Linked DNA regions of Yarrowia lipolytica. The protein of the gene in region 2 interacts with the protein of the main gene of each other region in a pairwise test. Links are inferred from orthologs where the notes say so. Each region holds a gene or a part of one and is shown on either strand. Other genes may lie near its edges.

Region 1 (3,392 bases), on a different chromosome or scaffold from region 2:
GTCGTTCCGATCTGGGAGTCGGGATTCCTCCGGAGACCAAGAAGCCGAGCAAATCATCATCCCCGAAGAAGAGGAAACGGTTCTCGCGGTTTTCTGACCTCACAGACGTGGAACGAACGCTTTCCAAGCGCATGTTCTTCACCAAGTGTGGGCATGTCTACTGTGGCCTTTGTGTCCAGTTCATCAAGAGAAGAAGAACTAGTAGACAAAAGAAGGAGGACAAGAGCAACATCAACGTCGATTGCATCACAGATTTCAAAGGGCGATATGTCGACACCCCATTCTCACTGATTGACCACTGTGTTGTTCCAGGATGTAAGGAGAAATTGCCCAGATCGAGAGGCAAGTTTTTCAAGGAGATGTTTACTTAATTTATATGCATTTATTGGCTAGCTACCACGCTAGTCACCAAGACAAGATGGGTTTGTGTAGCTATATAGGGGAGATTTTTTATCGATACCGGTATTGTACCACGACAAAATTGTTTGGCACAGGTGAGTTTAGTTTGTGCGGCTTAGCTCAACGACATCTGCAGCAGAAGCACGTTTGTGAGCCGAGTACTTGAGCATCTCTTGCAGTATGTCTTTACTCTTTTGTGTTCCTCGCAACAGAGACAGTCCATTTCCCTGGGTTTCGGAAAAGTTCATGCTCTCAAAAGCAGGTACACAAGCCACCTCGGGCCATGTTTTCGCGGAGGGTGTGCCCAACTTTTCGAATATGTCAGCCACCAGTCGCAGATCTGACACTCCATCTTGTACCTCGTTGGAGAAGAACGGTTTCCCGTTTCTAGTCAGCAGATATGCTAATATGCATCCTAGGGACCAGATATCGACCTTGTCGTCGTAGCCTCTGATTCCAAACAGCAGTTCTGGGGCTCTCCAGACGCCTGTTCCTACGTCTGTGATTTTTTCGTCTGCTTTTTCTGATCCCCCGTCCTTCCACGACACTCCAAAGTCGATGAGCACCGGCTCCGAGTCCTTGGTTTTGAACATGATATTCTCTGGTTTGATGTCTCTGTGGATGATGCCTTCTTGGTGGATATATTCCAGACCACTTGCGACTGCTGTAATGATTTCGATCGCCTTTTCTTCCGGAAACTTGTTTCTCATGGTGTCCCCCCCAGGCTCAATGAGTGTTGGAAAGATAGCCTTGTGATAACCCTTGGCGAGATCCTCAAGGGTGTATGGGTAGTAGTTGAACACCAGCACCTGTTGTTTTGTGAACACCTGGCCCGAGTCGCCCCACATCTCGTCGTCAGAAGAGTCAAACGGGTCCCTCTCTTCATAGTGGTCCAGCAAGGAGACAATGTTGGGATGATGGCCTTTGACTTCCTGAAGAATAGCTAATTCTCTGGCAAAATTGTGGGGAGGCCGTTGTGCTCCAGGTCGAATGCATTTAAGGGCCCGGTTGTTCTTTTCGTAGACTCTCGAGAACAGACCCCGGCCGATTTCTTTCATTTTAACGAGTGTGGTGCATCCAAGCAAGACGTCGTCTATCATGGCGTGCCATACATACAACCTGCAGTTCGAGCCTTGCGACAATGTGGGACAAAGTTCACAGTATACAGTAAGTTGGCAACAGCCCTCAATAACCCACCACACACTATGGACTTCACCTCGGTAACAGAAAGCTGGGTAGACGGCCAAATTGGTGCGTCTGTCTACGACTACGGCGACAGCGAACCCCTCACAGACGACCTGCGCTCCTCCAAACAAAAGGCTGTCGAAGCAGCATATAGCCTGGGCGACCTGTCTCTCCTCAAACTACTGGCACAGTCAAAGGGCGGTCTGCTCAACTCCAAGCTTCGAAAACAAACCTGGCCATTGCTTTTGAGTGAGGCATCGGTAACAGGAAGCGATCCCCCAGAAGACCCGCACCCTGACGAGACACAAGTGCAACTCGACATCGACCGAAGTTTCGTCTACTATCCGAAGTTTGAGGACGATGAGAAATGCGCCGAAGCCCGTCAGAATCTGTCGAAAGTCATTGTCACGGTGCTCAGACGCAACCCCCAGCTACGGTACTATCAGGGGTACCACGACATTGCCCAGGTAGTGTACCTGGTCATGGAAGACGTGCACCAGTCCATCCAGGTGCTGGAGAAGATCTCGCTCATCTACCTCAGAGACTTTATGCTGCCCTCCATGGGTTACACCCTTGACCACTTGGAATTCATTCCCTCGCTGGTCACAGAGCTTGACTCTCATACTGGCGATCAAATCAAAGAGGTGAGACCGGTGTACGGTATCTCGTCAGTGCTGACCTGGTTTGCCCACGACATTCCCGAATTTGACACCGTCTGTCTCTTGTTTGATTTCATTCTAGCTTCTGGGACCATGGCAACGCCTCTGTTTATTTATGCATCCTTAACGTCTTTAAGATCGGATGAACTCAGCAACCTGGACCCAGAAGACATAGACATCATCAACTGTGTTCTAAACACCTTTCCCAAGACAGAACAGGAAACCGTGTCTCGATGTATCCAAAAAGCCCAGAAACTAGCGTCAAAAACCATGCTGGAAAATTATCCGGCCTGGCATAAACTGTCAAACTACTCTGTATTGAAGACGACAGCTGCGCAATCGCCCCAGGCTGAATCTCCGTCAGAGTCCATTCTGTCGTCTAACAGCATGTCTTCTTCCGCTACAGCACCCTCGCTGATTAGCTCATACCTCTCGTTACAAATTAAGGAGTCCGAAGTGCGGGAGGAAAACGAACGTTTGGCCCGCCAGAAACTCATTGACAAGCGCAACCAGCAGCGGGAACAGAACAAGCTTTCTAAGAAAAACTCGTCGTCGTCCATTTCCATCCGACGTATCTTCTTCTTCTCTCTGTGTATCGGACTCACCAGTGTCATTCTGGCCATATTCATTTCCCCCAAGGACAGCCGGTCGTATCTCACCAGACATTTTGAGGCTGGAATCCAAGGATCCCTCCAGCTCCTACACCGAATTGCTACTGGTCAGCATTCGTTTTAATTTATTGCAATACAGATTCTAGCTACACATCGTTAACACGGTAATTTTATCATGATTATATATATGCTTTTGGCTTGACGCCTTAAAGTACTTCGTGGCCTTGAGCAACGTTGTAGTCACTGGCTCCGGCAACCGAGTCCGAGTAGACATGAGAAGAGCCCTGGGGTCTAAGAGCAGGGGAAGAGTTAGCAGAAAATCCTTGGTGGTTGTAAGAAGGCATGTGAGGATCGCTCATCCACGCGTTCTGGGGAGGCAGTGGCACGTAGCGTCGCTTGTCCATTTCAAAGTCTCTCCATCGCTTCATGACAATCTGAGACGAGTCAAATTCACCATCCTCCTCGTCGTGGCCTCCAGAGCCCTTCTTTTCACCAGCAACCTGTCGAGTGTCACCCCAGGAGAAATCATCAAACTTCC
Region 2 (3,818 bases):
TTTGGGTATGACAATGCGATATATGCTCATGTCCTCGTACATACATTGAAGAGATAGCGCCCACCTTGTGTTAATGCGTCTTGGACTCGATGTCTCAGCTTGACTATGCGCCATAGAGCTAAGAATTAGGCTGAAGTACAGCTGGTGTGGTACATTCTCAGTCAGGGGTGTTGAAGGTCCCATTGTGGAGCTTTTCAGAGACATTTGTCGACGTGATAGCAAGGTCCAGTTGATCCGACAAGTTCAAAAGGTTGCTTGACTTGGTCCATGACTTCATTCTATCAACTAGCCCGCCCTTGTACAAGTACCTGCTGGCGTGATAATGGACTTGGAAATTGCAGCTGGAACAATCGAGAGAAGGCTGCATTACTGTCTCAAACGTTGTCTTGTGCGCTGTGCAGTTCCCCCATGGAAGGTGCAGTCTCATATACGTTTCATTGTTACAAGTTATGCCGATCGGCTTGTCCAACCTGCATCATGGACAAGCACTAAGACAGTATTAAACCGTGCAGACATGTTTCACCCGCACAGTATCGTCTGCACAGCTGGTATTGCTTGTTTCACAATTGCTTTTTTCCTGTATGACTATCTTATTCCTATGTGCTCGTGTACATACAAGTACCGCGCTTGTACATACTGTAGTTTGACTCTGGTCACTCCTCCTTGTGCACAATCTGGTCCACGTTATCCCGGACCTCCTTGTCCTTGTTCTGCTTCTGCCACTCGGTTGCATCGTAGATCTTTTCCTCCACGGCGAGAATGCCGCATTCATCGAACATTCGCAGCACCTTCTCGGCATCTTCCACCGAGTAGTTGGCCAGAACCTTGTTGATTTCCTCCAGCTTGCCGGACTCGACCGCCTTCTGCATCTCAGGCGACAGCTCGCCAAAAACCTTCATGGCGTCCGCGTCATCCTGGGGCGGCTGGTTCACCACAATCTCCGTGTTGGGGTCGACGGCATGCAGCTGGATCTGCTCATTTTCCTCCTCGCTCTCCTTCTTGAGAATCTCGCACCGCGTCTTGACATGGTTGATGGTGAACGCCACGTCTTTCTTGAGCACCTCGAGAGCGGGGTGGCCCTGAGGTTGCAGGATCCGCTCAAAGAAGTTTCTGTAGCCGTTGGGGCCCAGCTGCGCACAGTACTGCAATAAAATGGCATTGTGAACCGTTCTCTCCATGTCGGCAGTCTTGCCGGCAAGTTGCAGTTGGAACCCCTCCATAACCAGCGCATCCTTCTCCTTCTCGGTGCAAATCTCGGGGTGTTTCGAAACAAACCGGTAGCACTCCTTGAGATCATCAGCGGGAATCTCGGCAAACTTGCGGGCAGCAGGAGACGGATCAGAATAGTCATCATCTGTGTCGTCAGAAGCCTTGGCCAGCGTGCTCTCAACAGGAGCGTCAGAAGAAGTCGACTGTCCAGGACTGTTGAGAGTCTCCATGGTGGTCTCGGTCTTCTTGGGCCGTTCCAGATCGGCCAGATCGTCTTCTCCAGCATCGGGCTCTGCAGTCTTGTTCAAAACTGTAGAGTTGTAGACATCGTGCACGTCCTCGGAGGTGATGTACTTTGCCTTTTCGTCGTAGAGCTCGGCTAGGCGCTCTCGGTGGCTCTTGTCGTGGTCCACCAGCTTGTCTCTATGTTCCTTCAGCTTGTCGTAGAAGGTGGCGCCGTTGTCGGTATCCACGTCGGGTTTGATCATGTCCAGAAGACTCTCCAGCATGTCGTCACAGTTCATCTGCTCCCCTTCTTTCTGGGGATTGGGCGCGGTGGGGGTATCTTTGGCCTTGAGACCCTCTTTGGACTTGACCAGCAGCTCCTCAATGGAGTCTTTGGCCAGCTGCGCCTGAGGCAGACTAAGCAGCTTGTCCAGACGCTCCACCAGCTCCACATCGATCTTCATGGTGAGCTCCAGCGACGCAATCTCCATCTTATTTCGATCTCTCTTCTCATGGATGTCTCGTTGCTTCCATCGGATGAACGATTTCTTGTCCACGTTGGGATGCACCTCCACGTCCGAGTCGTCCGACAGTTCAATCTTGTCCCATTTCGAGTAATCCAGCACCATTCTTGTTTGTGTCTGATGTTGAGATGGGGATCAAGTATACAGTATATATATATGGTTTGCTGTAGGGCAGTGTCACGTGGAGAGGTTTGAGGTAGATGCATAGAAAAAGGGGTACGAGAAAGATAACTGGATAAATGAGCACGTGAGACGGATAATTGAGACTGGAAGATGCGATTTCAAACGAAAAAACCGCTCCTTTCTTATCAATTGCGCCCAATACCACCCCCTTTCCAGGTTCTTCCAGAACACTCTACTTGAACGTTATTGTTACTTGGCCTAATAGTTGACGAGTATGTACTGTACGTAGGCAGCCAGTCTCGTCTCCAGTATTCATATCATATAAATAACATCAACATTTTGGACAGCAATGTTATCATCGCTCTATAGTAATCAAGGGAACACCTCAATGGGCTGACTAACAACGGGCAGGAAAATAGCCGAGAAGAGCAGCAGAGAAATCTCGGGAGCGCCCAAAAGAGGCATCTTCTTGGTCACCTGCTTGCTACGTCGCTGCTGACGTCGTCGAGACCAGATTCCCAGGGCTGCCACGCATATGCCTCCAGTTGCCCAGGTGTAGACTTGTGAGAACTTGGACCATGTGCTGAGCGCATTTTCCAGCTGCTGATCAGAGAGATGGTCAATGAGGCCGGTGGTTCGGCTCCAGAGAAGAGCCAGAGTTCCCAGCGGCTGCAGATTGACGGCAAAGATTGGGTATCCGATGAGAATGAGCGGTGAGTAGTTTTCGTACAGAGTTTCTGCGTCAATGTCGAGTTTTTTGGCCAGACGGGCTTCGGACTTGCTCGCGGTCTCAATGGCGCCCTGCTTGAGTCCGCGGATGGCGTAGATGGCTGTGAAGACGGGGAAAGCGGCCGAGAAGAGCGTGTTGATGGCCACGTTTCCTGTGAGTTGCCAGGTGAATTCTCCACTTGCGGGCATGGTGGTATCTGGAGAAGGGCGACTGGGGGAGGTGATGAGGGAGAGTTTGATTCCAAGAGAGTTGATGGAAGTCAGCCGTGAGTTTGTGGATGTTGATGGGCGGTCATCATGTGAGAAGGTCTTGTTTTTTGTCGTTTATAATCCACCATAGCGCAACTATCACATGTCTGACAAGTCTGAAAAGTCCCTAGTTGGTCCGTAGTTGGCATACCAGTAGAGACCTGCTCACTATGGGCAAATAGGGTTAGCAAGTTAGGGAGATAAGCCGAGCGGCGGGGGTGGGTGGGTGAACAGTAGGGGGGTGTTTGGGGGGGTTGAAAAATACTTAAAATAGAGAAAAATATCCAGTAATATAGAAGAGTCGTTTCCGCGAATTTTGGATATTTTTTCGAAATATAAACCCACCCAGAGGGGTGGTCTAATCGCGTTTCTCTCTCCCCGATAAAGCAACCGATAAAGCACCCCAACATATCCTCCCACCTTCCGAGTTAATTAATTGAATTTCCGACTAGCAGTAGAGCTGTGTGCGACTGACTCCAACAGACCATCCCCACACCAACGACTCTGGTCTATATGGACATTCTGGAATTTGTGCAGTGGGTGGGGGGCGACCTCGGGGTGGCGGCGACCGAAACGCTGGTCTCAGACTCCGCCCAGATCACCCCCACACTCTCGTCTATCACGGCCCAGACAGCCACGGCCACGATTCAGTCTGCCCCTCCGTTTGCCGACACTCTGCAGCAAAACCTCGAGTTCTGGCTCAAGCCCGAGTCCAAGTTCACCATCCACGTGGTCTACATTGTTAGCTCGTACGCGTCA

The links. The genes of interacting proteins can lie anywhere in the genome.
Region 1: the proteins of YALI1_E22126g (region 2) and YALI1_C33353g interact in a two-hybrid assay, tested with the Saccharomyces cerevisiae proteins (2 studies listed by BioGRID). The link is inferred for Yarrowia lipolytica from reciprocal best matches to the Saccharomyces cerevisiae genes CDC37 and CAK1.

The regions. Positions count from the first base shown.
Region 1 is NC_090772.1:3,333,877-3,337,268, forward strand, and holds YALI1_C33353g (uncharacterized protein), read right to left. Parts: upstream 1,500-3,392; coding exon 501-1,499; downstream 1-500. Other genes in the region: YALI1_C33332g (uncharacterized protein), read left to right, coding at 1-371; YALI1_C33354g (uncharacterized protein), read left to right, coding at 1,605-2,978; YALI1_C33406g (uncharacterized protein), read right to left, coding at 3,061-3,392.
Region 2 is NC_090774.1:2,210,881-2,214,698, reverse strand, and holds YALI1_E22126g (uncharacterized protein), read right to left. Parts: upstream 2,064-3,818; coding exon 654-2,063; downstream 1-653. Other genes in the region: YALI1_E22117g (uncharacterized protein), read right to left, coding at 2,454-2,999; YALI1_E22111g (uncharacterized protein), read left to right, coding at 3,573-3,818. UniProt on the Saccharomyces cerevisiae protein: Co-chaperone that binds to numerous kinases and promotes their interaction with the Hsp90 complex, resulting in stabilization and promotion of their activity.